7 linked regions of the Mus musculus genome follow. The protein of the gene in region 2 binds, or shares a complex with, the protein of the main gene of each other region. Links are inferred from orthologs where the notes say so. Each region holds a gene or a part of one and is shown on either strand. Other genes may lie near its edges. The genes, in order: Pdcd10, Strn3, Sike1, Ppp2ca, Strip1, Strip2 and Ppp2r1a.

Region 1 (4,396 bases), on a different chromosome or scaffold from region 2:
CTTTTCCTCCTACTGAGTTGTCATGTCCAGATATGATATGAGGGTCCATCCCAGTCTTCTCTATCTTGTTAGTTTGGTAGATATCCCTTGAGAGGCCAGATAAGTCCTGCACTCTTGTGTTCTTTCTCTGCCTCTCTCTCTTCCCCCTTTGGAAGGGAAGCAGAGGAGTACTTGATCTGGGGGAGGGGAGAGGTTGGGGGAGGGACCAGGAGGAGTGGAAGGAGAGAAAACTGTGAGAAGATGTAATGTATGAGAGAAGGGGACAAAGCTACTTTAAGAGCCAGGATGTTCTCTCAGAGGCTCATGGTTCCCTCATTATACAGCCTTATCAGTCCCTCATTGTACCAGGGATGAAGGTTGGATCTTCACCAGTTGAGTCAATGAGAATTTGTCTCCCTAGTACAAGATGTCTTCAAAGATTTTGCTCCACTAACAATTTTCCATTTGGAGTAAGCAAGTACAAAATTCACAACATTTAAACAAAAAAAAAAAAAAATGAATTTAGAGCTGTAGAGATTGGAAAAATAGTAGCAAGCTTAATATCAATATATACAAATTTTAGATTAGTGAACTATAAACTCCTGCCTTTCAACATTCATTGTACATGATTAATTAAAGTTAGAAATTATTATACCCTTATCTAAATCATACCTTCGGCTATTTGGGCTTAGTTTATTAAACTATGTCACAAAACATTTTCCCTAAACAATTTGAATTTGCATATGGAACATAAAACTATTAATGTAACTATCTTTAATTTGTAATATAAATGAAAATATTTATATTTGCCTGAACATTAAAACTGATTGTAAAAGTTTTATATCCATGTACTTTTAAAATATTTTATACTAATATCACAAATGTGTGGTTTTATATGGGATCTTAAAACTTCAAGGTTTGCGGTGCCTGTTTGGAGTATTTTCTAGCTTTATATATATACATAAGTATATGTCTTTTTCAATATAATTTCTAGCATCTTAACTAAAGTCCAGTCAACAACCTGTATGAAAGCACATTGCAGATGTCATAACCCAGACTATCTGTTTAAATACTGAGTACATATACAAAACACAATCCCTAGATCTACACAGGGCTCTATAGGAAGTTTTGTATAAACTTAAAACTAATGTTCCCAATGATGGCTGACTAGGCCATCTTCTGCTACATATGCAGCTAGAGACACGAGCTCTGGGGGTACTGGTTAGTTCATATTGTTGTTTCTCCAATAGGATGAATACCCTTCAGCTCCTTGGGTACTTTCTCTAGCTCTTGCAAACTTTATATGCCTCAGTACAGGGGAACACCAGGGCCAAGAAGTGGGAGTGGGTGGGTAGGGGAGTGCGTGGGGGGCGGAGGAGGGTATGGGGGACTTTTGGGATAGCATTTGAAATGTAAAATAAGAAAATACCTAATTTAAAAAACAACAACAACAACAAAAAAACCCCTAATGTTCCACTTACAATTTCCATATCATTTTCTTAAATAGTCATTTGCTTTTGTCTTCTTTCCAATCTTTTTAGTGTTCTCTTATTTAGCTATTTTATCTTCCCTTTAGCAATATGGATCTCTAGCCTGGGATCACTCGAAAGCCACCTGGACACATTTACAAAACATCTAGACCATGTTCCTATTCAAGTCAAGGTAGAAATCTCTCAAAGTGGAACTGTGGCAATGAGCTTTTTAAAAACTGACCCAGGATGGTTTTAATATGGAGAGAGGATTGCGAATTATTGTTATTAAATCCTATCCTCTGTGTACTAGTTTTTCAAGGGGCTGGTACCTTTGACAGCAACTGAACAATCTTAAAAAAATGTTCAATTATTGAACCCCAATAGTAGACCCATACCATCAGATGCTACTAAAGTTTAAGAAAAAAAAATTAGGGCTGGTACAAGCCAGTAAGTTAAGATTTACTTTTTATCTTTTAATATCAAAAAAGGAAAACACCAAATGCCCCCCTCTCCCCTCCCAAAAAAAACAAACCAACCAACCACATTCAGGTGAAGACTGTACAATTTACATTTCATTATCAGGTCCTTTTCAGAAAGTGTCAAAAATCCTTACTGTAGGTTTTAAGTTGTGGTAAGAACAGTAGCCACTCTCCAATCCTCTGCCTTTGTTAATCAGATGACTCGACTCTTAACAATGGAAGACAGAGCTTAGCTGACAGAGCTTTTCCGTTTTAATTTTTACATTCAATTTTCTCCATCTCCCGGCCCCTTTCACCAAGTGGGTGTGGAATTAAATTCAGGCTGTGAGGCCAGGCTGTGAAAGCCTTTACCCATGGAGACCTCTCACTGGCCCAAATAACCTGGTTCCAATATCCCAGAAAAACATTCATTTAATTAGAGCAGAGAAGTATAAATGACAATACTTACTTGCCATCTTTAAAATAAGTCTTCAGAGTGTCACTGAAACTTTTGGAGTATTTTACAAATTCTTTCTTTTGGTGTTCAAGTGCCTATGTTTATAAAAAGAAAAACAGGCTAAGACAGAAGAAGAGCACACAAGGCCAAGTCAAAGGGCAATGGCAACAATGAATATGGCATGATTTATAGTCCGTAGGTCTGAGGAGTGTTTACTCACATAACCACACAACATTTACATCTGAGGACAAATGCAATGAGACAATTTCCACAAGCCAAACCCTTTAGTGCAAAGGTCATAAAACAACTGCCCATATGTACAATGGCAACAAGCAACTTACCCTGCGGTTCTGGTACTGATATTTTTTGAAGACATTATTCACTGTATCAAGTAGTTCTTTTATTGCACTAGCTATATCCCTGTTTGGAAAGGAACAGCAACAACAAAAATCTTTAAAATCATCTACATTAAGAAATATATATTTATAATTATGAATCATGATATGCCACTCCACTTCCCCCACTGATACCTGCCAGAGTGGCCTGTAGCTCAGAAACTGCCATGGATTACCTATCCTGCCTCTGCCTCAGTGCTGGGATTAAAGGTATGCACCACATGGTTGGCTATTCATATATCTATATCCATGTATCTTTTTGTTTTGTTTCTGAGATATGTTCTCAAGTAACCAGGCTAGCTTTGAACTCTACATGTAACCAAAAGCTTTGAGCTTTTCTGATCCTCTTGGCTCCATATCCAGAGTGCAATCATCCCAAGTGTAGTGCACTGTTGGGGATTGGATCTTGCTTTTTATGCATGCAAGGCACACTGCTCTCTACCAACTGAGGCATGCCTTGCCAGACCCTCAAAGTGCTCATTTGCATACTTAATTCTCTCCGATCATGAGGTACTTCAGCTCATCCTGCCATAGTAATGCCTTTTTTCCCTAAGCATTATGATGAATATATACCACCTCTTATATGTAAACCATTGACATTAGGCTAGAACAAAAAACGTTCCCTACTGAAGTAGAATTATTTTCACACAGAAATGTCACCTGGCCACTTGCTAGCATCGCAGCTCCTATTTAAGAGTAGCAGCCTAAATCATGTAAGGACCTCTCTATCTTCAAGCAATTTCAATATTTTACACTGCTGTGAAGGGCATAGTCAATCATATTCAGCAAAATAGTGTCAGCAGAATTTGCTGTGTTTTTGAGAAAAACTATAGTTGTAACCAATATAAAATGTTAAATCTCTACATATGAAAGTTTCAATAAAATCATATTGAGCTAATTAAAATAAATATAAAGAAGGTAACAGTGAACACATAGATCACATATGTTAGTATTCTATAAAAAAGTAATTTTTAACTTGTTGTCATGGCTAATGCGAAAGATGTGAATGCAACAGAAATTTTTGGACAGGGCAGGTCAAGCGAGCAGCCCAGAAACAGACTGCTTAACTGCAAAGAACAGCAAGACAGGAAGAAGAGAAAAGGCTTTGCTAGAGTCTATCTGTATCTGCTTTTAAGAACTGGGAATCTGAAAAGTGAGCATGATGACAGGCTGCTGAATCAGTCTCTAGTGAGGCTTTCCTCAGATACAGCAAATTAAAGAGCTATCACAAATAACAAAATATCTGCACAAAGCTAGGGCAATCAGGTGAGTGACTAGAGAGTCTGCTTTTAGCTACACTTAAAGAGGTCGGAAGGAAAGAATTGCCATCATCCTTGTCTTTCAGCTTCAAGAAGCCCAGTACAGAGCAAGGTACCTTGCAGTTAGAGGAAAAGAAAATTGTTCATGCCCCAAGGATGCAGCAGCTTTAGCAAAGTCACAGTGGAACCCAGGGCTAGACAAAGTCCCAGTAACTTAACTTGATTGTAGGGCCAGGAACTTAGCTTCTAGAAGAGCATCAGGCCAGGAGGCTGATAGCCTCAATAAGCTCTGCCCTATAGAATAAGCTGGGAGGAAGAACAGAACAGGAAAGTTCGCACAGCTCTGTCTCATTATTCAGGTCTAAGTCCACAATGA
Region 2 (4,396 bases):
GTTAAGCTGAATAAATTCTTTCCTCCCCAACTTGCTTCTTGGCTATGATGTTTTGTGCAGGAATAGAAACCCTGACTAAAACAAAGTGCTACTTTAAAAAAAAAAAGAAAAAAGAAAAAAAAGCTTCAAGCCACTGGACAGTACTTTAAAAATAGACCTTCTCTCAGATCATTTAGTGAATAACATATGAAATCATAATTCCTGCCATATGTACATGAACGGAGTAGGAGCTGGCAGTTATTATAAACCTTTTAAGTACAACTAAAATAATTACTGTTCAAATCACTGTGTGGAGGAATATCGTTAACTCTCCTACTTTGTGCTTATGGATCCGAAGTTTGTCTTTTCCTTCTGGGATGCCCTCAATCATGTCATTTTCTTCTTCATCACTGTCATCAGCATTTTCTAAGAAATTGAATGTCTCGAGAACATCACCAGGGGGCCTGTAGAAAAGAGAAAAGATGATTCCAACTATTTCAAAGATTGACTCTGGTATTTCTTCCTGCTTTCTATTCCTATACCCTTCTTGTTATCTAGTGATACTACAAATTGAACCCAGGATGTCACACATGCTAGACAAGTGTTAAATCAATAATCCACATTCTGACCCTTCTAATTCCTAGTTTAAAACTACTTGAAGGTGGCATCTGCAATTCAAACACAACCTAATTTTTTGTTGTTGTGAGACAAGATCTTACATAATTCAGATTAGTCTCAACTCATTATGTTGATGAAAATAACCTTTAACTCCTGATCCTCCTTTCCCAGTAGGCTCCTGGTTCAAGATACCTTAATTATAATATAGTGCCTAAAACTTTTATTCTAGAGTATCTTTAAAGATTATTTGTGCTCTATAATTAAAATAAGGATTGTTCTGTGTTTAATAAGTTTCAACCAAAGCTTTTTGTCTACATTTTAGGTAAATGCTATAAGAAAATAAAATCTGGGGACGGAAAATGGCTCAGCAGGTAAGACTATAGGTAAGAGATCTTTCAGTAGACCTGAGTTTGGGTCCCAACACCCACATCAGGTGGCTTACAATGGTATGAACTTTGGCTCTAATGGATACAATGCCTTCTTTGAGCCTTTGCACGCACTTACAACTTATATGTACATAACCTCCCATCTCACACACACACACACCCCAGCATAATTAAAAATAAGTCTTTAAAAAGAAAAATAATCTACTAAGATTAAATGATCAAACATGCTATTATTTCTGAAAAATATTTAAAAAACAAGTTAGCAATTTTTTTAATATTTACAACCACTTATACTTTAGCCTAAATATTGGAAGGCTAAATAGTAAAACACAAAAGCTAAATTTATTAGAACTGCCCATATTTAAAATTATAAAGCATATATTACACAAGATATACCACTCTGGGGAGCAGAGGAAGTTCTGAGTAGATGTACGTTGTTGACATGAGCGATCCAGGCTTGGTGTGGTCATATGCATGATTTTGATCAACCCAGTGGTTGGGTGGCAGAAGCAGGAAGATCTTTGAGTTATAGGCCAGCCAGAGCCACCTAAAGAACCTTGTCTCAAAAATACAAAAAGAAAAAAAAAAAGACCCGAGTGACTAAACCTCAGCCCCATGGGGGTTGCAAACCCTTTACAGGATGAGGCTCAATGTGGTAGCAAAACCTTCCTCTGATCCAATTGTGAATGCTAACAGTTTGTGTAGAAATGCCCATAGTAGCTTTCTAACCCCCAAACCCAGAAATGAAGGTCCTGAAGACTGCTCGCTCCCCTGTGAGGACTGCTCCCCTGTGGGGACTGCTCCTTACCAAGACTAGCTAACCTCCTTATTCAGCTGTACACCATAACCCCCACTTCCTTGTTCAGTTTTATATAATAAACACACTAAGCTTTCTGGGTGATGTACTTCTCCATCAGAGTGTCCAGGAAGCCATCCCAGTTTTCCTGTGTATATGTGTCCAATGTCTGTAATTTCTTCATTCCCTTCCATTATCTAGTTAGGGTTCCTAAACCCGAGAGGTACCAATCCATCTTATAAATCTCCCCCCCCCCGACATTTTTTATTAGATATTTTCTTCATTTACATTTCAAATGCTATCCCAAAAGTTCCCTATACTCTCCCCCGCCCCGCTCCCCTACCCACTCACTCCCACTTCTTGGCCCTGGTGTTCCCCTATACTGAGGCATATAAAGTTTGCTAGACCAAGGGGCCTCTCTTCCCAATGATGGCTGACTAGGCCATCTTCTGATACATATGCAGCTAGAGACACAAGCTCTGGGGGATACTGGGTAGTTCATATTGTTGTTCCACCTATAGGGTTGCAGACCACTTCAGCTCCTTGAATACTTTCTCTAGCTCCTCCATTGGGGACCCTGTGTTCCATCCTATAGATGACTGTGAGCATCAATTTTTTTTATACAGCAAATAAGTATCTTTAATCTATTAAAATGTTTTCAAGTATTTCAAAACTACTCCAGTAACAGCTAATAACAATAATCTATTTTACTACTATATATAAAAAAGTGGCTTTGATAGATTCATTTAATATCTAACAATAAATGCAACTATAGAAAATATAGGGCTGGTGAGATGGCTCAGTGGGTTAGAGCACCCGACTGCTCTTCCGAAGGTCCAGAGTTCAAGTCCCAGCAACCACATGGTGGCTCACAACCATCCGTAACAAGATCTGACCCTCTCTTCTGGAGTGTCTGAGGACGGCTACAATGTACTTACATATAATAAATAAATAAATAAATCTTAAAAAAAAAAAAAAAAACCTGGCTCATCTTAAAAAAAAAAAAAAGGAAAGAAAATGAGACTACCAATGAAAAGCCACTGTTGTATCACTGATTTTGACTTCCATAAGTTAAATGATGTTAATCAACAAATACAAATCATACCTTTTGATTTCTTGTCCTTTTTGCTTAGGAGATTCACCACCATTCAAGATCTGTTCTAAATTCTTTGCTTCTACAGATCCATTTGGCTCTGAATTAGACAGTCCAAGTAATGACCTTACCCGTTGAGATCGTACATCTAATATTGTATCTGTGTATCCTACTTCCTGAAGATACCTATCAAGAGAAAATTAAATGCTAAAATTCAACATATTGTTAACATCTGCCACCTTCAAATCATATTAAAAATTAAAGAAAAAAAGCCACAATCACACAAATTAACTTTTTCTTTGTCTCAATAGCTTCGTTATAGCCTAATTCCAGGTCTAAGAGAATGATGTCAACTTTAAGTTCCAGGACATCCTATACCCTCCCCTCTGACTTATGTAGGCAATCAGCATATATGTGGTGCACATGTATACATCCAGACAAAACTCATATACATAAAACAATCTTTTTTAAAAAATGAATTAAGGCAGGTGTGGTGGTGCACACCTTTGATCCCAGTACTCAGGATGCAGAGGCAGCCTAATCTATAGGCGTTCCAGGATAGCCAGAGAATCCTGTCTTGAAGAGAGGAGAGGGAGGGGGAGGGGGAGGGGGAGGGGAAGGGGAGGGGAGAGAAGAGAAGAGAAGAGAAGAGAAGAGAAGAGAAGAGAAGAGAAGAGAAGAGAAGAGAAGAGAAGGGAAGAGGGAGGAGGGGAAGGGGAGGGGAGAGAAGAGAAGAGAAGAGAAAGGAAGAGGGAGGAGGGGAAGGGGAGGGGAGAGTATGACTAACTACCATTGAGTAAGAGCCAATTATCTCAATACCTAAAAAAGCCTCAGTGTTGAAACGTTTTTGAGATACATAAACACAGGTTACATGCCTTTATATAGACACATATAAGTATCTATTTAAAGAATAGATATGTAAATTTATACACATACATGTAAGCACAAATACACAATTTTCACATGTTCAAGGTATGTGAAAGAATAAGTTCTCAGCCAGGGATTGATAGATGGACTAATCCCCCCTCAAGGATCTCAGATTCCAGACCATTCCTCCAAAGTTCACTCATCTAAACCAAATACTTAATAGGCTATGACTTTAATTTCACCAGGGTTATCAGTAGGATACAAGTAGCAAAATTTCCAACTATAAGAAAAAGAACCTGGGCTGGAGAGATGACTCAGGGGTTAAGAGCACTGACTGCTCTGCCAGAGGTCCTGAGTTCAATTCCCAGCAACCACATGGTGGCTCACAACCATCTGTAATTGGATGGGATGCCCTCTTCTGGGGTGTCTGAAGACAGCAACATTGTACTCATATAAATTAAATAAATCTTAAAAAAGAAAAAAAGAAAAGAAAAAAGAAAAAGAACTACTAGATTAAAAAAAAAAAAAACAATAAACAGAAATTGCCATAGAGTCATCATCTCTAGTACATCAACAAAGTAGTATCAAAAGTTTCCTCAAAAAAAAAAAATTTTTTTTAAAGATTTATTTATTTATTATATGTAAGTACACTGTAGC
Region 3 (3,734 bases), on a different chromosome or scaffold from region 2:
TGTTAATTAACCTGTTGACTGACTTTGCCGATCAAGATCCATGAACTCCACAGTTATGTGCATTTAAAGGTGCCTTAACTTGGTCCTTAAGAAATGTGCTGAAGAGTGCCTGAGTGTGATTCTTGGCTCCACTTTGGACAAATTAGAACCTTCTAGTATGTATGGAACTGTAAAGAACTGAAGCGGGGATGCTGTGTCAGCTGACACAGAAAACCCCTTAGTATAAGGAAGTAACCATTGCAGGACCCCCTGGACTTCGATTCTGCAGCTGTTTTCTATGTTTTCTCCTAGCACCACCCCTCCCCCACCCCCTTCCCTGGTCAACTTTTAGATTCTCAAATAACACAGCCCTTTCTGTGCTGTATCCTACACTTACATCTGATGTAACACACTGCATCAAAATTATCTGCACAACATTTTGTTTAGTTTTTTGAGACAGGGTCTCTTGTAGCCCAGGCTGGTTTTGAATTTACTATGTAGCCAAGAATGACCTTGGATTTCTGCTCTTCCTGCTTCTGCTCCAAATTCTGGGATTACAGGCATGTGCCACCATGCCCAATTTATCTGCTGCTATCGGGCAGGCAGCATAGAGGGGAATAGCGCTGCTATATCCCACCCCTCTGTAATATCCCTTTACCACTCTTCTCATTTTAAAGTCGGTTTGTTTTTAACTCCTAGTGAAATAATTTGCACAGAACATCATACACAATTTATCTGTTTGTGTGTTGTAGGTCAGAAGGTAATTTTTAGAAGTTGGTTCTCTCCTTCCCTCATGTGGGTTCTGAGGAATTGAACTCAGGCCATCTGACTTCATGGTAAGCACTTAGACCTGCTGAGCCATCTCCTAGCCCTAACAGACATGTTCTTAAACCGGTACTGCCGTTTTCTGGAATGATTATTAAGATGTAAATTCCAGATTCCATCCATAAATTTCTATTTCATTAGGTGCATTTTAAGAAACATGGAAATAGACTTCAGTGGTAAATTATACATTCAGGACTTCTGCAATGAATAGGTTGTTAATGTGCTTTTCAAAGGTTTATACTGCTGAATATATTGAATAATTGCAAGCTGCTTATGACATCTATGTCATGAACACTTGCCATGGTTGCTATGTATGTGAATATGTGAAAAAAATCTCCTATACTTCTTTTTGCTTTTTTCAAGACAGGGTCTCCCTGTGTAGTCTCCTGGGACTCACTAGGTAAACCTGCATGTCCTCGAATTCAAGAGATGTGCCTCTGCCTTCCAAGTGCTGGGATTGCAGGTGTACATCGCCACTGCTCAGCTAAACTTCCTTTTTTTTTCCAGCTCAACTTCTTAGACTCATTTCTCAGTAAAATGAGCAAATCTTCTCAAAAAGGTTTTTATTAGTTAATATAATTTCATACTAAAATTTTATACACTAAATACTTCCACCCATTGCAAGAGATATTAGCATCTTCACACAAGTGTGAAACATTCTTTCTCCATTCAATGTGCTAGCTCTGCAATGCCTTCACAGCACTAACACCAGGCAGAATTTATACGACACAGGGCACCGAAAGCTTGCTCTACCCTCAGGACTGCAATGGAGAGATTCCTCTGAAAGCTAGATGCAAAGACCTTTGTAGTGAGTGCTACGGGAACAGAAGGCAGATAAAGAAAGGGACACCATGCTCACTGCTGAAATAGACTGACTGATAATGCTCTCACTGTGATGGGACCTGCTGTGACAGCTGACAAGTGGTAAAGGAACCCACCCCTGAATGGGTTTGTGGAGTACACACTTGGGGCCCTTAGGGGAAACATCAAGGGGAGCAGCTGGAGTGAAAGTTAACATGGGAACAAAAACCAAAGTCCATCTGGGCAAACAGTGCAAAAGGAATTATTTATAAACCTGACATATGAGCAAACCAAGATGAGAAGGAACTGACAGGGAGCTATTAGAATCTCAGGTTGTTCTTGATTGCCTGAATGCATGGCATCAGGAATGTGGTAACTTTCTGTGAGTAATAAAATGCTTCCATGAGAAAACCCAGCAGATGGAAAGACAGCAAAGTACTGATGCCGGTCTAAACCATCCCAGTGGTGCTGCTCTGCACAGCACAGCACAGCACAGCTGTGTGTCCATGAAAGTGCCTAGGAGCTAGGAACCTGTGAGTGAGGTATGTGTGTGTGTGTGTGTGTGTGTGTGTGTGTGTGTGTGTATGTGTATGTCTCATACAAGGCAACTACCTAAGCCGAAGACTCCTTAGGCAGACAGAATGGAAAACTACTTGGTCAAATAAATAAAAGCTATTTTTGGCATTTAAGTCCAATGTACATGTACAGTCATGTACATCTAATAGCTCCCTGTGCATGATGGGGCAGGCCCAAGTTCCTCAGCACTCTCTGAATGACTGTGGATCCTTGAGGAGGAGGAGGAGCAACGCGAACCCGGCTTACTTGTTTTCAAGCGTATTTCCTGGGGACTAATAGATTCTCTCAAATTAAGAGCAAAGACACCTGACCACAAAGTGCCAACTCCTAGCACCGGAGAGGATCAAACCCCATGGATGAGCGACGTCACTCAGAGACTCTGCCAATCTGCTTCTTTGAAGTCATGCTACTTTTACAAGTGGAAGAAAAAAAAAATCTAGGTTTACACCAAATATGTATTTTTAAAAAGTTAAATCTTTGAAAAACTCTTAGAAGGAATTTTTATAATCCTATATAAAATAAAATCCTGGCTTATAATAAAAGTGTTCAGTGTTTCCAAGCTGTGAAAAACAACATTGAACTGCAGGTAACAGTTTATAGAGATTCCGGACTAGAGTGACAAATGTCATCTCTGTCCCAGCAATGGGGGACTTGTCTAGTTTCACTAGTACACCCCAAACTAGTTAGTGGACAATGAATACCAAGTGGCAATTCTAAACTGCCACCCCATACCTCTACCCAACACTAAGTCAAGTCTGCGGCAGGACTCTTGGACACGGCAGGAGAGGAGGGCACGGCTTCTCGCTCTGACGGGCAAGCTGTAGCCAGCCTTCGGAAGTCCAGTTACTTGATGGTCTGAGAGGCAGGAGCCACAGAGCTTTCTTTTCCAACCTGCAGAGATTCACTGCTGATGGACAGTAACTCTCGAAGTTCCTTATTTTCAAGCTGGGGAGAAAAGATATTTCCTGTGTTTTAATTGTTAAACTATGTCAGAACATACTATTTTGGCCCAGAAAGAGGAAAAAAAAATTTTTTTTTGGCTTTTCTTTTTTAAGATTTATTTATTATTATACATAAGTACACTGTAGCTGTCTTCAGATGTGCCAGAAGAGGGCATCAGATCTCATTATGGGTGGTTGTGAGCCACCATGTGGTTGCTGGAATTTGAACTCAGGACCTTCGGAAGAGCGGTCAAGTGCTCCTATCTGCTGAGCCATCTCACCAGCCCTTTTTTTGGTTTTTCGAGACAGGGTTTCTCTGTATAGCCCTGGCTGTCCTGGAACTCACTCTGTAGACCAGGTTGGCCTTGAACTCAGAAATCCACCTGCCTCTGCCTTTCAAGTGCTGGGATTAAAGGTGTGCGTCACCATTGCTCGCTTAAAAAATTGTTTTTTAAAGACAAAGTCCTACTGAGTGGAGTTTGCTGGCCTAGAAATTGATATGCAGATCACACTGACCTTAAACAGATACCTGCCTGACCTTGCCTCCAGATTACTAGAGGTATGCTCTGCCACACCTGGACTTTAAACGATTAAGCCTTTTCATTTTAGATT
Region 4 (4,396 bases), on a different chromosome or scaffold from region 2:
ACAAGAAATATACAAATGTTGGTTAAGAACTTACCGTTCTGTCAATCATTTTAAAGAGTCCATGAAATATACATAGCAATATATTTGTAACCAGAAACTACACTAATTAGACACATCATTTAGTTTGTTAAGTTCTACCTGAAAACATGCCATTTTAAGTAAAATCCTAAAAACATAACTCTCAAGTTCTATGGTTTAACAACCAAGTCCCACTAAAACAGCACAGATTTCCTTTCACAAGCGCAGGCCAGCAACAAGACAAACTGCGGTATGTCAGACAAACAGGTCCCCAAGTTCTTCTGAAGAACACCAAGGAGTTGCCAGAGAGGTTACACAGTGGCCTTGATCTTTATTTTTCTTTACCTGGGATTCTACAAATTCTGAAATTGATCAATAGATTTATCTTGTTAATAAACAGCACCAGTCGTGCCCACTGATACAATTCAAACCTGACTTTCTCAGTTCTCAAGTTTATTATGAAAACACTGCGGTGACTTGTGCAGTAACATCATCTTACAGGAGGGAAACAGTTCTGTTCAAAACAACTCACCAGGTTTTCTGACAGTAACAAAGAACAACGCGGGGCTGAGATTTGAGAAGGGGAGAAACTGAGTGCAGACAAATCATACAATTAAATTAATGGTATCCCTGAAAGAAACACAACAAGAGGGGAGGCCTTGGTACTTATTTAAAAATGTTCATTAAGCTCCAATGATTGTTTGCTATCCTCATCTACAGTCATGCTGAGTAAGCTACAGCTAAGTGAAGTCAACTGGACTCACGGGTGTTAATGTTTAATCCTATATCTGCAGTCTCTCAAGAAAGCAAAAGTAACTACAAATAGCGCTATGCCAGAAACTGGATTCTTGACCAACAATGTCGCGTCAGCATGCAATGAACTGGTTCATTCTAAAGTGGTCACGGCTGTTGATGACAAGAGGCTTTGTATTTTATATGGCACATCTTTTGGTCCGTGTGAAAACAAGTTTTTGAATGTTAACTATTTTCTGACACTTTGGAGTTACTGTTGCTCTTCCCATTTCCATTAGGTCAATATACGGTTCATGGCAATACTGTACAAGTTTACATTTTCATTACAGGAAGTAGTCTGGGGTACGACGAGTGACATGTGGCTCGCCTCTACGAGGTGCTGGGTCAAACTGCAAGCTGAAAAACAAGGAAGACTCAGTGTTACTACTCCAGAAGATACCATGTAGTTAACAAAACTAACATCTTCCAAATTTTCAAATTTTCTTCCCCATCCAACTTCAGTACATTTTAAAAGAATAGAACCCAACTTTAATAGACCTAGGTATATTGGGGCACAGCTCTAACATTACCACTTGGGAAACTGAGGCAAGAAAATCACAGTTCTAGACCAGCTTGGGCTACAAACACATGGTTAGTTTTAGCTGTTAACCAGACACAAGAGAACCATTACCTGGGAACAGTTCTAACTGAGGACTAGACTTATATAAATCAGGTTGACCTGTGAGCATGTCTGTGGAAGACCATCTTAATTGATGTAAGAACACCACGCCCACCGTGGCTGTTACCATTCCCTAGGCAGAGAGCCTTCATCTGTTTAAGAATGAAGAAAGCTAATTGAGCATAAGCAACAAGCAAGGGCCCACACACTTCTCTCTGCTTTGTTTTGTTTGAGTCATGGCTTCTTGATATAGCCCCTGAAACTCTGTATATAGACCAAGCTGGCCTCACTCACAGAGTTCCTCCTGCCTCTGGTGGAAGGTAACATTACATCTAGGCTGTAGATGTTATTTGAGGAGCTGCTTCTAGTTCCTGCCTCAGCTTCCCCTCAATGGTGGACTATAAATTAGGACTATAGGTTGAAGACCTAGTAACTCATACAAGTTATTCATACCAAATAAGAGACACTAGTGCTAGTTTCTATTATGTGTAGGTTCATTCCCACAAAAATTTAGTCAAAAGTCAACAACCTATGCTTTGGTTTAAGCAGGGCTGGACAACACAAAGCTAGCTCAGAGTAGATACTTACAAAGAATACTTAAGAGTGTCGTCAAGTTCCATGATTGCAGCTTGGTTACCACAACGATAGCAATAGTTTGGAGCACTGAAAATTGTTACTACGTTCCGGTCATGGCACCAGTTATATCCCTGTAAAAAAGAGGCAGGAAAAAAAAAAAAAACCAAACAAACCTTACTAACCTACATAAATATGAACCCATTAAAACAGAAAAATACATTAAGATAGAAAAACTCCAAAGGGGTTAATTTTCTGTATTTCTCATAACCTATAAAATGTACATTTAACAATGTGTTGCTAAAACAAACAAACAAAATACTTTTGTTTGTTTGTTTTTGGGGGTTTTTTGAGACAGGGTTTCTCTGTGTTGCCAAAAAAATACTTTTTTAGAAAAAGATTTATTTACTTGTTTTATGTAAGTACACTGTTGCAATCTTCAGACACACCAGCAGAGGGCATCAGATCCCATTACAGATGGTTGTGAGCCACCATGTGGTTGCTGGGAATTGAACTCAGGACCTCTGGAAGAGCAGTCAGTGATCTTAACTGCTGAGCCATCTCTCCAGCCCTGTTTTTGTTTTGTCTTAAGCATTGAAAAACAAGCCAGGCATGGTGGTACACATTTTCAATCCCAGGAGGCAGAGGCAGGTGAATCTACATGGAGCCTAATCTGCATGGAGAACAGCCTAATCTACATGGCGAACATATCCCGCAAAAACCAACAAACCAACCAACCAAATCAACTTAAATATTACCCATCACCAAATGTAGATACTGTCTTTCATTGACATGACCTTGTGATGGTTTGTGTATGCTTGGGCCAGGAAGTGGCACTATTATGTGTGGCCCTCTTGGAGTAGGTGTGAACTATAAGATCTCATCCTAGCTTCCTGGAAGCCAGTATTCTGCTAGCAGCCTTCAGATGAAGATGTAGAACTCTGAGCTCCTCCTGCCCCATGCCTGCCTGGATGTTGCCATGTTCCTGCCTTGATGATAACAGACTGAACCTCTGAATCTGTAATCCAGCCTCAATTAAATGTTGTCCTTATAAGAGTTGCCTTGGTCATGATGTCTGTTCATAGCAATAAAGCCCTAAGACAAACCTTAAACTTGATTTTAAAATGAACTATTTTTTGGGTCTCACTGTACAGTCTAGGCTAGTCTGGATTACAAGGCAGTTTAGCTGCCACCTAAATAACTAACCAACCAGCAAACTAGCTAACTAATGAACTAATGAGGCATGCACCACTATACTTGGCTGACCATCAGTACTGACAACAAACTCTTATAGAATAAGAGATTGCCCACTGCCATAGTTTGAATGCTCCATGTTCTCATCTCATTCTCAAAGTATGGCAGTCAATGTTTTAAGGTAAGACCCCTACCAGAGGAAAGGCTTCTTTCAAATCATCTACAAGCCAGTTATCTAAAGGGCATCAACATTTTGATGTTTCTTTCTTTTCCTATAAAGAAACAAACTAGATAATGTGAAATAAACCACTGCGATATATTATACCCTTCCTCATTCGCTCTGCATCTTCATCCTTTCATCATTAATCCCAAGTCCCTCCGAGTCATTAAGTGGATGCCCACTATCAGCCATGGATCTGACTTTCCTCTGACTGTCCATCTACTGAAGAGGGTTTAGCTCCCATGGCAGACTCTAGGAATAAAGGACATCTTGCTGACAGCATCAGTGTCAAACTCCTTTCCTTCAGTTACTACAGTTAATTTGACAGGTTTCAAGAAAAGAACATACCTCCATCACCAGCTGGTGAGCTCTGGACACCAACGTGAGGCCATTGGCATGATTAAATGTCTCAGAAATATCTTGGCCAAAGGTATAACCAGCTCCCCGAGGAGATATCCCCCAGCCACCACGGTCATCTGGATCTGACCACAGCAAGTCACACATTGGACCCTAAAAAGCAGGTATAAGTTATTAAACTGACTTCCAAATGTGGAATTCTTCATTTGATAATTCACCAGAAGCAACACTCTACAAAAATCACATTCTTAGTATGTGTGCTGAACTTTTGCAGTAAAGGTATCTCTGAAATGAAAATCAATTCCCACAAGGCACACTGCACTCAGTAACTTGCCCCATCTGCCCGTGTATCTGAGTTTTATTATTAGACAGATGGGCTAGTGGTGACGACCAGGAAGGCTTCTAAACGTCTAATGAGCAATGGTAAGGAGCTCATGTCATTTCATTTTGAAACCCGAGTGAACATATGATAAATTATGCTACAGCTAAACGATTTTTGTTTTTCCTAAGGAGTGTCTGAGAATTTGTCAGCCATACCTCATGAGGAACTTCCTGTAGGCGATCGAGTGCTCGGATGTGATCCAGTGTGTCTATGGATGGTGACAGACCACCGTGTAGACAGA
Region 5 (4,396 bases), on a different chromosome or scaffold from region 2:
TAACCATCCTATGCAAGGTGTGCCAACCACACAGCTCTAGAATAAGGGCTCTGAGAGAGTCTACTGCCCATCTATTTACAAAGAAAAACCAGCATACCTAATTCACTTAGAAATTCACTCAGTGACAATCTGTGTTGGCATCAGGCCTAGCCATCTCCCTTACTAGTGAAACTTATCCAATTGATTCCTTTGTCTGAATCAGAAATACCCTAAACTTCACCTGCAGCAAAGCTGGGTCAAGGAAGGCAACTCACCTGAAAACTCCTGGCCCCACCCTTCCACCCTTGCTTCAACCTGTTCCACTCATGGCCCTGACACTCACGGCATCTCCTCGGGCAGAACATCTGCCAGGATGTTGATGGAGTCTGTTTTGGCTTTCGATGTGGGAGCTGCTGCCAGTAGGATCTTCAGAAGGGCAATCTGGGAAAAATAGACCACTCAGGTGAGCATCAGAACCTAGGACCACAACGATGCCCTGAGAAGTGGGACTCCTGAGGGTCCTCAGGTGGCAGGAGCCTTGCAGGCTGAAGGAAGGAGAGCAGCCCGTGCTCCTTCGCGGTCTCAGACACAGAGAACTCACCATATACTGAGGCAGGCTGGGGAGCAAGCCTTGATAGAGGGTTTCTGCAGGAACTTGTTCAACTTCCTCTTCTCCCTTTAACACAAAAGTCACACAACCCATGCTCAGGCTACAGTCCCCTGAGGCAGTTTACTAGCTGGCTGGAATAGAATCTCTAAGTATCAAAGTGAAGGGTGATGTTGGTGATACTGACAGGAGGCTCTGAAACATATGACATCCCAAGAATGTCACCCGGAATCATTTAACTAATTCTTCATGAGGTACCACAGTCATGCATGCTAGCAAACACTTGTAACCCAGCACCGGTAAGGTTGGGAAAGGTGTTTGAGGCCATCTGGGCTACAGATAGATGATATCTCAAATTAATAAGTAGATAAGAGAGAGAGACGGCCTTAGTCTAGCGCTGGTCTTCTTTTACAGGTAGGAAACAAAGCACAGAGAGATTGAGTTTTATGTTCAAGGTGCCATTCACAGACTGAAAGGAAGACATGGATGGCAATCTATTCAAGGAGAGGCCGACTCCTGGAGCAGCCTTGTGGCCAGGCCCGGCTCAGAGACTGAGAGCAGTTGGGGACTTTGTGGTCTCTTAACTCACCCCTGAGAGAGGAGAGCGAAGGTATTCCTCCTCCATCTGTGCCTGGACCTCTGCGATTGATGTATACTTGTGCTGGAGAGAGAGGCAGGAAAGAAGGTGCTGAGGAAAGACACCCCTCTTCTCTGGCCAGACTCCCCCCTCACCTGGCAAAGACCCAAGAGTTTATTTTGGCCTTCTGAGAGAGGGCTAAGTCACAACAAAGATTCCTAACTTAAACCTGCAATCTACTTCTGACAAAAAAGCCTGTGTGAAAAGCGCCCATAGAGGTTAGCAAAAAAGCAAAATAAAGTGGAAAGGGCTTTCAGAAGCAAAAACGACAGGAGGGGGCCTGGAGAGATGGCTCAGTGGTTAAGAGCACTGACTGCTCTTCCAGAGGTCCTGAGTTCAAATCCCAGCAACCACATGGTGGCTCACAACCATCCATAATAAGATCTGATGCTCTCCTCTGGTGTGTCTAAAGACAGCTACAGTATACTTACATATAATAATAAATAAAATCTTTTTTAAAAAATGACAGGAGAAAGATATCAGAGGCAAAACTAACTGTATTCTTAAAAGCCTAGTGCAGAGACCACCTGGTACTACCAATTTCAAAACTGGACTTTAAAATGTTACAGTTTAGACACACTGGAAAGCCTCCTGACCCCTGGGGTCGTCTCTCCGCTAATCCTCACACCCACAGCTCCCTCAGCTCCCTCTCAGCAGTGAGCACAAGAGGAAAACAGGATGGTCTGGGACTCCACCTGCCTGCCTGCTGAGAGCCTGGGTCCTGTCTGCCCTCCACTCCAGCTCTCTGGGCCTGGGAAACTGAGCTTGCTTGGTTTATAGAGTATGCTAGAGCACACCCACTATGGTGCTCTTAAGCCTTGCTCTCCAGCCATGCTATAACCAGCAAAGCTGACAGCACCATATCCATCCGCCAGTGCCTCTCAATTGCCTTATACCTCGTGGGCTCCCTGAACTCTAAAGCCTGGGACACACATATCTGTAACCGAAGTCAGACGTAGGAAGAGATGCTTCCCAGGCTCTTGCTGGCAGACAATAGCCCTGAAAGGCTTCTCCCTTGGCCCAGGCTCACTTTATTCTCCTGGGACCAAACAAAGCCAAACGTTCCCTTAGTGCCACTTACTTGTTTCAATGTCTTGATGCTTTCGTGGATTGGCCTTGGCAGCCCCACCACTGTGTTGGTGTCACTGGAGAATAAAGAAGGCCTTATGCTGAGCCCAGAGAGCCACTCACCGGTCCGCTGCCCCAAGGCCAGGCAAGGGCACTTCAAAGAGGCCTCAGGTCACACTCACCTTCCTAGAGTGTAGCCTATGAACTTGCTGCGGCTGGATTCAAGGAACATCTCAATGTCTTTCTCTCTACCAAGCAAGAAAGAGGGGCAGATTTTATCAAGTACTGCTTCAAGGTGTGCCAGTCACAGGCCTGTGTTCAAACAGACAAAGCATCTCCAGGTGTTTACAAGACAGGAAAAGGTCTCTTACAGTAAGTGGGAAAACCTGAATTTTGACTACTTTGTTTTTTTACATAATTTTGTTAGGTTCATACAATTAAAGTATGTTTATATTTCTATAATACATATGGCCAGTTGACTCAAAATTAGGGACATATATAAAACTTAAAGCACAACTTATTTAAACAATAGTAGTATTTAACACTTATTTAAACAATAGTAGTATTTAAACACCATGAAGTGTAAGAGACATAAGCTACTAACTTTAAACAGGTCATTTTCTTGTCTCAACAGAAACATTCTTCTCACACAACATAGAAAGCTCAGGACATACCCTCTTTTATATCAGTTCATATACACATCTCTTTATTAAGTTGCTGCCTACCAAATATACTTCTTTTTTGATGGTTTTATTTTCAAAACAAGGTTTCTCTGTGTAGCCCTGGTTGTCCTGGACTTGCTTTGTAGACCAACTGGCCTGGAACTCACAGACATCATCCACCTGCCTCTGCCTCTGCCTCTCTAGTGCTAGGATTAAAGGCGTGTGCCACTATGCCCAGCTACAATATACCATTTTAACAGTTCCTGCTACCTTCCCATCTATTAACTCCCCCAAGCATACTGTTTAATACATTGGGTTTTTAAAAAATTCTCCATCTATCATTTTTAAATAAAAGGCCACATACAGCTCCAAGATGAATGGGGATAGGTTTGCCTAAATACTCATTTTTTTCTCCTTGCCTTTGTTCACTATCAAGTTGGACCAGTTCAAATTACTGACACAGGAACCACACAAGGGTTATCTATCCTGTGTGACATCAGCAAGGCCGTCCTCACAGATGTGCCCAGGACAGCACATGGTAACTTAAGGTCATCTTAGCCTTGCAGAGGACTCCAGGCCAACACTGACCTAGGATATGAAGGCTCTCACTTCAAGAATATTCTAGAACTGAGACTCACCTAACTTTGGGAGCCCAAGGGAGCCCTTTTGGGCAGGTGAGTCTGTCAGTCTGAGGGTGCTGTAGTGGGGGAGGCATCACCTCGTCTCGCTCCAGGGGAAAAGCCTCCCCCTCCAGGCTGCTGTCGTCATCATTCTCCTCTTCCTCCTCCCGAGAGTCGTCAGCCTTATAGGGATCCCGCTCGTTGAAGGCATCTAGATTGTCCTGCTTTATCAGAGCCTGAAAGCACAGAGAAGAGCTGAGAAAAGCAGCCAACCAATGAGATGGTGACGAGGAACAGAGTTCAAATGGAACAGACCCATCTCAGATGGGGACCTGACAACAGCAGGGAATACGGAGGATTTAGGACTAGAATGAAGAGAACCTCAGAAGCTGCCCTGATGTTAAGTATCCGCTATACACTGGGGCTGAGGCTGGGGACAGTGTCCCTGCTGTGGAGGCACGCCTCCTGATCAGCTTGATCGGAGCTGGCTTCTCATAACCTGCTGGCCCAGGAATCATGTGCCCCGACCCCACTCCCTGAGTGTGTACTCTGAGATGCCTCACCTTGTGCTCCCGTCGGCCCCGCTTCTGCTGCTGCTCAATCAGGTCTGAGGCAGAGGCTGGTGGGGAGGCAGCCCTCATGTTCCGGATGACCTTGATGCTGTCCTCAGGCAGAGGGGGAAGGCCCAGGAGAGTGCGCTTCTCAGCCTTCATGCTCTGCAGCTCCTCAAAGCCGCCCAGCGTGCACTGCGTAAAATGGGGTGCAGAACTTAGGTCGCCATGTCCTTTTTGGTATCATTATTCTAAAAAGCATGCATGACATC
Region 6 (3,480 bases), on a different chromosome or scaffold from region 2:
TATACATGTGACAAAATTTAACTAAATAGTTTTAAATCTTAAGAAAACAACAAAAAGACCAGGTGGTGATGGCCCGTGCCTTTAATCCCAGCACTCAGGAGTTTGAAGCCAGCCTGGCAACAGAGCAAGGTTTAGGACAGCCAAGACTACACAGAGAAACCCCGTCTCAAAAAAAAGAAATTATCTCCAATGATACACAAGAAACTAGTAATAGTGGAAATGGTATATATGTCAGATAATCTTTGTTTTTAATTATATATTATAATTTTTAAATTTTTTAGATTTATCCATTTTATTTGTGTTTTGCCTTCATGTATATATGTGTACCACTCTGTACTTGGTACCCACAGAGGTCAGAAGAAGGCATTGGATCCTATGGAAATGGAGTTACGGATGGTTGTGAACTATGATGAGGATGCTGGGAATAGAACCCAGGTCCTCTAGAAGAGCAACAAGTGTTCTTAGATGCTAAGCAGTCTTTCTAGTGTGAATATTATAAACTTTACATGAATTAGTTCTTGGTTTTGTTGTATATCACAAAACTGGCTTTGAACTCATGATTAGCCTCTGAATATTGTGATTGCAGGCATGTGCCATTGTGTGTAGCTTAATGTGTGTGTGTGTGTGTGTGTGTGTGTGTGTGTGTGTGTGTGTGTGTGTTAGACAGTGTTTCACTCACCCCAGGCTATCCTCAAACTCCTTATACAGGTCTTCTGTATTGTTGAAGACTAACTCTTGCGTAGAGTATTTAAAGTTCATGGACTTAAGTTATTGGCAGACAAAATAGGTATCTCATTTACAGTCACTCAGTAATATGCTATTGGTATTTAGAAATCTGGACATAAAAATTGAATTTTATGTTTCATTCAATTCAAGATACTTGGGTCTCTTAGGATAGCCAGGCTTGTTTATATGGTCTGAGTTGGAAATCCTAAGAAACTTCACATGATGATGGACTATTTGTTACCCCGTCCCTGTTTCATTGGGCAGATGTTAGTGGTGTTTAAGTCAGCTCCAATCTTAAAGCGAGCTCTCAAAGTCAAACAGGCCATGCTACAACTTTATGTCCTGAAGCTACTAAAGATACAGACCAAGTACCTTGGGCGCCAGTGGAGAAAAAGCAACATGAAGACCATGTCAGCCATTTACCAGAAAGTGCGCCACCGCATGAATGATGACTGGGCTTATGGGAATGGTGAGTATTCCCAAAGTAGATGGTAGGGGTTCTTAGTGAACGTGGAGCTCCTTAATTGGCTAGGCTGACTGGCCACTGAGCTCCCGGGATTCTCCTGTCTCTGCTCCTGCAGCACCGTGGTTATAAATGCATACTGCTGCACCTGGCTTTTATGTAGGTCTCATGATCCGAAGTTAGGTCCCTTTGCCATCTCCTGAGCCCCTAAATATGATATAAACTTTATGATGTGGTAAAATGTTTGCCTCCTTATAGTTTTTGTTTTAGCTTTGTTGTTTTGTTTTATTTGAGACATAGTCTCGCTATGTAGCCCTGGCTGTCCTAGAACTTGCTATATAGACTAGGCTGACCTCAGACTCAGGAGATCTGCCTGCATCTGCCCTCCAAATGCTAAGACTGAAGGCATGCACCACCATGCCCGGCTGAGTTGGTCCAGACTGACTCTTCATGTTCTGCTTCCATCTCCTCTTTTCACCCACTATGGAAAGCTCAATAAGAGGAATTTAATTGCTCTTAACAATTATAATAAATTACGGGGCTGGCGAGATGGCTCAGTGGTTAAGAGCACCGACTGCTCTTCTGAAGGTCCCGAGTTCAAATCCCAGCAACCACATGGTGGCTCACAACCATCCGTAACGAAATCTGATGCCCTCTTCTGGAGTATCTGAGGACAGCTACAGTGTACTTACATATAATAAATAAATAAATCTTTAAAAAAATAAATAAATAAATAAATAAATAAATTACTAGAAAGAAATAAGCAAGAGATTACAATACTAAGCCCTCTTATCTCCTTTCTCAGCAGTTTCTAATCTGCCAAAGATCGTTTCTGTATATGTTAGTTTATATGTGAGCATATGAATACTTTAAAAACCTGTAGGCATGCTATGTGTCTACTTTATATATAGCTCTTAAAAGAACATTTTGAGCAGTTTCACTGTTAGGAACCCATAGACCATGCTCTGCGGAGGGGAGTAACATCCTGAGTTGTATGTATCTTTTTCTTCCTCTCTTCCTATGTCAGACATCGATGCCAGACCATGGGACTTCCAAGCAGAAGAATGTACCCTGAGGGCCAACATTGAGGCTTTTAACAGCCGCCGATATGATAAGCCTCAGGACTCAGAATTCTCACCTGTGGATAACTGCTTGCAGAGCGTGCTGGGGCAGAGGCTAGATCTGCCTGAAGATTTCCATTATTCCTATGAGCTCTGGCTGGAGAGAGAGGTGTTCTCACAGCCCATCTGCTGGGAGGAGCTGCTCCAGAATCACTGAGCTCTTGTCAGCAACGCAGCGGACGGAGGTTGGCTCCAGTAATGTGCTTTGCCTGTCCTGCCCACTCAGCCTTCATACTGAACTCTAGGAATGTGTGTCAAGGGCAGTTCCAGCCCAGCATCCAGCACAGACAGACACCCAGCATAGTTCAGGGCTATTCTGGATACCAATAGACTCAAAGGTGGTTGCAAGACTGGGGTCCTGAGTCAAAGCAAATGGATCAACTTGCCCTAGGCTCAGCTAGGTGCCTAGTTGGCCTTCAAATCTCCCGATGGATCAGACCTGGACAGACTCTTGGAAACCTGCTTTAATCTTGCCTAGAACCCTGCTCACTTTTGTCAGCCACAATAGTGAAAGGAAGTTTGTCATGGCATTTGACCCACGACATTCATCTCCAGCAGGGGGATAGGGACAGGCCATAAAATAAGCCTTGTCTTCTTGCCCACTCAAAATGCCTGGGACGTATCATTTAGCAAAACCAACTTTAGACTGTATTTCACACTTCAAATGTTGATGCTCATCTCTTCATAAAATCATCATTGGTTCTAAGATGGTTTGAGAGCACTGCATCTTTATAAAGGATGACTGTTTCCAAAACACTGCATGTTCCAGAACAGCATACTGTGTAGGGTTTTTTTTTTCCTTAAGAGCTCTGTGTTCAATGTAAAAAATTATTTCATGTGTATTTTCTATAGCACATTGAATGCTTCATCATTTGAAAAGAACCACAATTAATATAATATGGCCTTCTCTAGGAATAGCTTAGACTTTTTACAAAGTACTTCAGTTTTTTCCTATGAATGCCAGCTTTATTACTCATGTACCATCTACAGACGTAAAACCCAACAGCCCCCTGCCCCAAGAAGGAAGTTGAAAAAACATTAACGAAAAGAGCCTATGCCAGGGAGTCCGGAATCCTGTGACATGCCATCTCTGCGTCGGTACCCAGAAGAGAGTGGAAGACTCATGAAGGCTTCCAAAGATTCGGGGAGTCCAGAGTCATTTTGAGAGGA
Region 7 (4,996 bases), on a different chromosome or scaffold from region 2:
TTACAAAACAATACCTTAACACAAAACAAAAATGTATATAGCAGTTTTCATTCCATGTCACCATGTTTTTGGAACAGTGGAAGGACCAAAGAGGAACCAAATCTCACTTTGGTAGTAAAAAGATCTCAAGTTAAAGTGCTATAAACGCTCTCCCCACCCCTAAGCCCCCCAAAATTTATTTTCACTCAAACTATAAAATGTGCAGAGAGCTACAGAAAGATAAAACAAAAACAAAAACAAAACAAAACAAACAAAAACCCCACAAATATAGCAAACACTCCCTAGATGCTGGCAGTTAGCCTGCAGGTGCTCAGTGCACTGCTGAGTATCCAGAAAAGAACATGTTCTTTAAATTGCTGGTAAATGTTCTCAGCTTCACAGGCCAGTCTCTAAATCACTCAACTTGGGCTCACAGCACAACAGCTGCAATGGGAAGGAACCACTAGGTAAACAAACAAACATGTCTTTTATTCCAGCAAAGCTTTACTTAATAAAGCTACTGGCATGGCTTTCACTCAAGCAAAACTTTACTTGCAAAAGCTGGCTGTGGATGGATATGGTACTAAGGCTGTCTTTTGCTGACCTGTATACTAGTTTTCAACATTCTTCCCTCAATTTCTTACATGCCTGTGCTCCTCTTCCATCTGAACTATGGGAAATGCATGGGCCAGGGTGACAACTGGTGAGCAGTGAGCAGCAGCCCTAAGGACAATGGATGGTATCAGGGAGCAACCACCATTCCATTCATAATCTTCATGCCAGCAATAATAGCATCATGGATCATCTATAAAGTGTTCCCTGTATACTCAGGTAGTTTATTCATACTCTGCTCTGAGGTTTTCTAGAAAAACCATATTAACAGGCGAGGATGCTGATGCAAAACAAGAAGCACTTGATAGAAAGCAGTGAGTTCCCAAGCAGAACCTAAGCAGTCTGACTATCTGCACCGTCACTGTGTCTAGGAGTAGGGGTCCTGAACACCACGCTTCCTGTCCATTTGTGGACAGTTCTTTCACTCTACTCTTTCTGTCAACAGTGTGCATTGTTTTGTTCAGGAAGATGGCACTGTGAATGTTGGAGTAAAGTGGCAGAAAGCTGTGTAGCCCTGTTGCCTAATTCAAGGCTATGCTGTCATGAGGTCATTTTCATCCAGCAAGACCTCTGACAGACTTCTGATCTCCAGAAACATAATAAAACTTTATGTTGTTGTATACTAAACTTATGGTGACTTGTTACAGGATCCTGACAAAATTGGCACACTGACCTAAGCTAGACAAGTTCCTTATTGTCTCTAGGTGAACATTTCATCCAACAGCTTCCCTCAACCTTAGCACTAAAATCTTTGTTTCCTACCTAAGAAAGATGTCCTATATACTGCAATCATGCTTAACAGCATTCATGACTTCAACCTACTAAAAGCAGCAACAATCTCCCAGTTGTGGCAACCAAACCATCCCTAGACATTACTAAACACCCTTGGAGCCAAAAAACTAGAACTATAGCCATTGCGCGCATACACACACACACACACACACACACACACACACACTCTCTCTCTCTCTCTATCTGGATTCATCTCCAACTTTTTAAACTTTACATCCTAGAAGGAGCCTCCCTCAACTAGCCTAATTCCTCACCCAACTGTCTAGAGGTTACACACTCTGCCCAGAATCTAATGGCTCCTTCAACAAGCAGGTACTGTTTCAAATTTCAACAAGACTTTCCCATGCTTACTCTACATTTCTTATTTTCTCCTTAAAATTTTCCATAGTCAACATAATGCCTATTTATCTGTGACCACTCACTAAAAGGTTAATTCCTTTAAGGCAAGTTTTGTTCTTTTGTTCTTCAACTATCCAAAATACCACTCTGAAGAAAGGCCCAGCAAACACTTGCTGATTCACTCTTTCAACATTGACAAGTCTCATTCTTTCTTACATGTGGTAATATGCAGATTTAGTTCTGTTTACCTGTTTCACATCTAGCCTTTGTACAGCAACCAGACTGCTTCTTTCTTGATACAGTGTCACCAGGCTAGCCTTGACACTGCCTTTGCCTCCTGAGTGCTGGGATTGCTAGCATGCATGCACCACTATACCAAGCTCTGGTCTCCTTTATGACCCAATAACATTCCTCATGCTTTGCATGTGTTTACAGAACATATGCAAATAAATTCATTCAGTATACCCAAAACCAGATTATTATTCCCATTTAACAGAAGAGAAACACAGACTGCCTGAGTCAATTTGCAAAAATTGCAAGATCCAGGAGTACAAATCCAGTCTTGCCAACAATGGAACCAGAGTCACACATAAATACGTAAGACTTAGAGGATAGGCCCAGGTTCAGGAAGGTGACTGAGTGCAGCATGAACAATTCTATATAAAAGGAAAAGCAGAGGGCTGTAGCACAGTGCCACAATAGCCACACCCCCAAAATAATTGCTAACATTTATAGAGCCTTTACATACAGCCAGTTTCATTTTACTACTTTTCCTCGGCCACCGAGGGAAACCAGGACTATTATTAGCCGCTATTTGTAGAAAACAGAAGCCAGGGGCGATGAAATAATGTGCACACAAGGTCATCCTCAGGTGAGAGGATGCGGCCTTGAGGTCTGACCTCTTTTTCAAATCCAAAGCAGTCCGACAACTCTGGGGTCCTGGCTCATTCTTCTCCCATGAACCAGAACTATCAACTCTCTTGGCAGGCCGGCTTGGGACCAGGTCGGAGAACAGGTGGGTCTGTGCACGTTACCCACCCCAGCTACGGCTAGTTAAATCTCAGGAGAGGATACTTTCACCGCCTCCTTCCTCCTCCTTCAGGAGAGCTAACCCAAAATACAAGGTGGAGGTCGGTGAAGAATGGACAGAAATCTCGGTATCAGTCCCCAATCCCAATATCAGTCCCCACTCCTTCCAGTTAAAACGAAAACATTAAAAGCAATGGGAACTCTACCCGGGTCGCCAGGACCCCTGAGGGTTTCTACTCAGCAGGTCACGCGCCCCCGCCGATTCTCTACAAAGAGCCATTCTGAGTCCGCCGCCAATCACCGACTGGCAGGCGGCAACAAGACCGCCACCCTATCTCGGGCCGCCCAGGCCCAGATCTGGGGCGGCCGCGCGCACTCAGGTAGGACCCTCGAGGCTTGCCCTCCGCTTGGCCGGGCACCCAATGAAGGCTGCCATCTCATCGAACCTTGCTATTAAGAAAGATGAGACCTGAATTCTGATTGGCTGCCGCTGCTTTCCGCCACTCCCGGAGAACCCGGAGCCATCGCTCCCACATTCCGCGAAGATCCCCGTCCCCGATCTCCCCCACACACTCTAACGGAAGGATCCCCGTACCTGAACGTCCTCATTGCGGAGTTCATCTATGAGCACCGCAATAGGATAGAGCGAATCGTCACCGTCGGCAGCTGCCATCTTGGCTCCCTGGCGTTTCTATCAGGCAGCAGCGAGCTCCAGGCGGAATCCGGGATCGGGCGGGGCGGTGCCGGGGAAAGGACGCAAAGCGGACGTGGGGGCGCCCGAGCCGCCCTACAGGGGCCGTCCCGCCGCCATTGCCGCACAAGCTCGCGTCTGTTTGGTCTGAACCAACCAAGTCCCGCCTACTTCTCATTCACCATTGGCCGGACGAATGAGATGTTTTTCCCGAAGGACGAGAGGAACCGGAAGTGAAGTATCTTAGTGACCAAGATTGTGCCCGCCTACGTCGCTGCTAGCAACCACGGGAACAAGCAGGTCTAGCTGCCAATGAGAGTCGAGGGTGGGAGGTGGCTAAGATGGCCCCTTGGGGAGAGGCGGAGAAGACTTAAGCTGGAGTCTTGGGAGCTATGCGTGACGTAATGAAGGACATGCTTGTCTGGTTCTGCTATACCGGTCTCTGTAAAGGAGGGACTCCTAAGTAGGGAGATTTGCCTTGCTTGGTTTCTAGGATGCGGTTCTGGGGCTCTTGGCGTTCAAGGCTTTATTACCCACCCCCCTTACCCGGAAGAAATAGAGCGGCCAGAGCGAGTCTTCATCCTGCCGGGGAGCTTCTAGGTAGCTAGTAAAAAATGAACAAGGTCGAAAGTTTTTTGAGGATGGACCTCTGCCTCATAATGAGCTTGGGCGCTGTGATTCACTTAGAAGGCGAATATAAAACTATCACAATCCTTTCTCCTTAAGGTTGAAAATATGAAAGGGAAGAAGGTGGGCATAGCGGGGTTGTTAGATGCTATCAAGGTTGTTAAAGCGTGGCTATTTCTATACTTGATTTTTGTTTTCTCCTTTCGACTCCCCTCGCCTCTCCCCTCCTCCATCATCCTCCCCCCCACACCTCCATTCCTCCCTTCCCCCTTCTTCCTCTCCAATTAGAGAGAAAATTGAGAAAGCACCCTCACAGAGAGTGGAAATAAACAAACAAACAAACAAACAACCCCCCCCCCCTCACAGAGAGTAGGCGTTCCTAAGTAATGATGCAGATCACATATCTCTGGCCCTGAATAGGAAACACTTGGTCTTGTGATAACGAACAGAAGGCATAGCCATGTGTGAAAGTGCACATGCTTTCAATCATGAAACTCAGGAAGCAAAAACTTGTCATCTTTCTGAGATTGACATCATCTTGGTCTACATAGTGACCTCCGGGCCAGTCAAAGGTCTATGGTGTAACCCTCAAAAGACAGCCATACCATTGCCTCATCCCATAAGAGTTAATCCAAATGGTCTGGCTTAGAAACTTCAGTTTATACGCTACCTCACTAAAAGAGTTTGGCACAATGGTACCATTGTCTATTCTTTGTGAGTGTATTTTCTTTTATGATCTCTCTGGCCATTCTTCAGTTTCTTTCCTTTATATGAACTCTTCTATACTGTACTTTATGTGTTTCTGAAACCAATCAACAGAAAACTGGGGAACTCAGGAGAGGCTATGGAGAGGAATTCCAAACAGTGCCTTCTTGGACCATTTTTGATTTAACAGATCTTTTGGAAAAAACATCCTCTTGCCTGTCT

Evidence for each region.
Region 1: Strn3 (region 2) and Pdcd10 share a complex: the UniProt entries of both Homo sapiens proteins name them as parts of the core of STRIPAK complex. The link is inferred for Mus musculus from reciprocal best matches to the Homo sapiens genes STRN3 and PDCD10.
Region 3: the proteins of Strn3 (region 2) and Sike1 are in contact, whole or in part, in a crystal structure (PDB 6AKL), measured with the Homo sapiens proteins. The link is inferred for Mus musculus from reciprocal best matches to the Homo sapiens genes STRN3 and SIKE1. Residues at the interface, in NP_001077362.1 of Homo sapiens: Arg176, Leu179, Tyr182, Leu183, Val186, Tyr188; in NP_079349.2 of Homo sapiens: Glu96, His97, Ala100, Leu103, Ile104, Ser106, Lys107.
Region 4: Strn3 (region 2) and Ppp2ca share a complex: the UniProt entries of both Homo sapiens proteins name them as parts of the core of STRIPAK complex. The link is inferred for Mus musculus from reciprocal best matches to the Homo sapiens genes STRN3 and PPP2CA.
Region 5: the proteins of Strn3 (region 2) and Strip1 are in contact, whole or in part, in a cryo-EM structure (PDB 7K36), measured with the Homo sapiens proteins. The link is inferred for Mus musculus from reciprocal best matches to the Homo sapiens genes STRN3 and STRIP1. Residues at the interface, in NP_001077362.1 of Homo sapiens: Thr64, Pro66, Gly67, Leu69, His70, Tyr71, Gln73, His74, Val88, Glu89, Ala91, Glu92, Ala95, Arg96, Phe99, Leu100, Glu103, Gly106, Gln107, Leu110, Asp113, Leu114; in NP_149079.2 of Homo sapiens: Arg441, Ile445, Tyr447, Leu449, Thr455, Val456, Val457, Gly458, Leu459, Arg491, Ser492, Pro493, Leu494, Ser495, Phe792, Leu793, Pro794, Val795, Asn797, Cys798, Leu799, Val802.
Region 6: Strn3 (region 2) and Strip2 share a complex: the UniProt entries of both Homo sapiens proteins name them as parts of the core of STRIPAK complex. The link is inferred for Mus musculus from reciprocal best matches to the Homo sapiens genes STRN3 and STRIP2.
Region 7: the proteins of Strn3 (region 2) and Ppp2r1a are in contact, whole or in part, in a crystal structure (PDB 6IUR), measured with the Homo sapiens proteins. The link is inferred for Mus musculus from reciprocal best matches to the Homo sapiens genes STRN3 and PPP2R1A. Residues at the interface, in NP_001077362.1 of Homo sapiens: Asn109, Leu110, Asp113, Arg116, Arg117, Lys119, Met120, Leu121, Tyr123, Ala124; in NP_055040.2 of Homo sapiens: Leu10, Pro12, Val15, Asp18, Glu19, Asn22, Leu27, Asn30, Ser31, Lys34, Leu35, Thr37, Ile38, Leu40, Ala41.

Annotation. Positions count from the first base shown.
Region 1 is NC_000069.6:75,518,324-75,522,719, forward strand, and holds part of Pdcd10 (programmed cell death protein 10), read right to left. Parts: intron 2,787-4,396; coding exon 2,708-2,786; intron 2,462-2,707; coding exon 2,379-2,461; intron 1-2,378. UniProt on the Homo sapiens protein: Promotes cell proliferation. Modulates apoptotic pathways. Increases mitogen-activated protein kinase activity and STK26 activity. Important for cell migration, and for normal structure and assembly of the Golgi complex.
Region 2 is NC_000078.6:51,649,788-51,654,183, forward strand, and holds part of Strn3 (striatin-3), read right to left. Parts: intron 3,059-4,396; coding exon 2,885-3,058; intron 444-2,884; coding exon 317-443; intron 1-316. UniProt on the Homo sapiens protein: Calmodulin-binding scaffolding protein which is the center of the striatin-interacting phosphatase and kinase (STRIPAK) complexes.
Region 3 is NC_000069.6:103,001,100-103,004,833, reverse strand, and holds the end of Sike1 (suppressor of IKBKE 1), read right to left. Parts: intron 3,127-3,734; coding exon 3,025-3,126; 3' UTR 920-3,024; downstream 1-919.
Region 4 is NC_000077.6:52,118,673-52,123,068, reverse strand, and holds the end of Ppp2ca (serine/threonine-protein phosphatase 2A catalytic subunit alpha isoform), read right to left. Parts: coding exon 4,311-4,396; intron 3,927-4,310; coding exon 3,765-3,926; intron 2,137-3,764; coding exon 2,018-2,136; intron 1,168-2,017; coding exon 1,095-1,167; 3' UTR 320-1,094; downstream 1-319. UniProt on the Homo sapiens protein: Catalytic subunit of protein phosphatase 2A (PP2A), a serine/threonine phosphatase involved in the regulation of a wide variety of enzymes, signal transduction pathways, and cellular events.
Region 5 is NC_000069.6:107,617,736-107,622,131, forward strand, and holds part of Strip1 (striatin-interacting protein 1), read right to left. Parts: intron 4,320-4,396; coding exon 4,137-4,319; intron 3,810-4,136; coding exon 3,592-3,809; intron 2,540-3,591; coding exon 2,474-2,539; intron 2,369-2,473; coding exon 2,305-2,368; intron 1,248-2,304; coding exon 1,176-1,247; intron 656-1,175; coding exon 581-655; intron 421-580; coding exon 323-420; intron 1-322. UniProt on the Homo sapiens protein: Plays a role in the regulation of cell morphology and cytoskeletal organization. Required in the cortical actin filament dynamics and cell shape. Part of the striatin-interacting phosphatase and kinase (STRIPAK) complexes.
Region 6 is NC_000072.6:29,954,442-29,957,921, forward strand, and holds part of Strip2 (striatin-interacting proteins 2), read left to right. Parts: intron 1-990; coding exon 991-1,195; intron 1,196-2,216; coding exon 2,217-2,467; 3' UTR 2,468-3,480. UniProt on the Homo sapiens protein: Plays a role in the regulation of cell morphology and cytoskeletal organization. Required in the control of cell shape. Calmodulin-binding scaffolding protein which is the center of the striatin-interacting phosphatase and kinase (STRIPAK) complexes.
Region 7 is NC_000083.6:20,943,934-20,948,929, reverse strand, and holds the start of Ppp2r1a (serine/threonine-protein phosphatase 2A 65 kDa regulatory subunit A alpha isoform), read right to left. Parts: upstream 3,477-4,996; 5' UTR 3,425-3,476; coding exon 3,347-3,424; intron 1-3,346. UniProt on the Homo sapiens protein: The PR65 subunit of protein phosphatase 2A serves as a scaffolding molecule to coordinate the assembly of the catalytic subunit and a variable regulatory B subunit.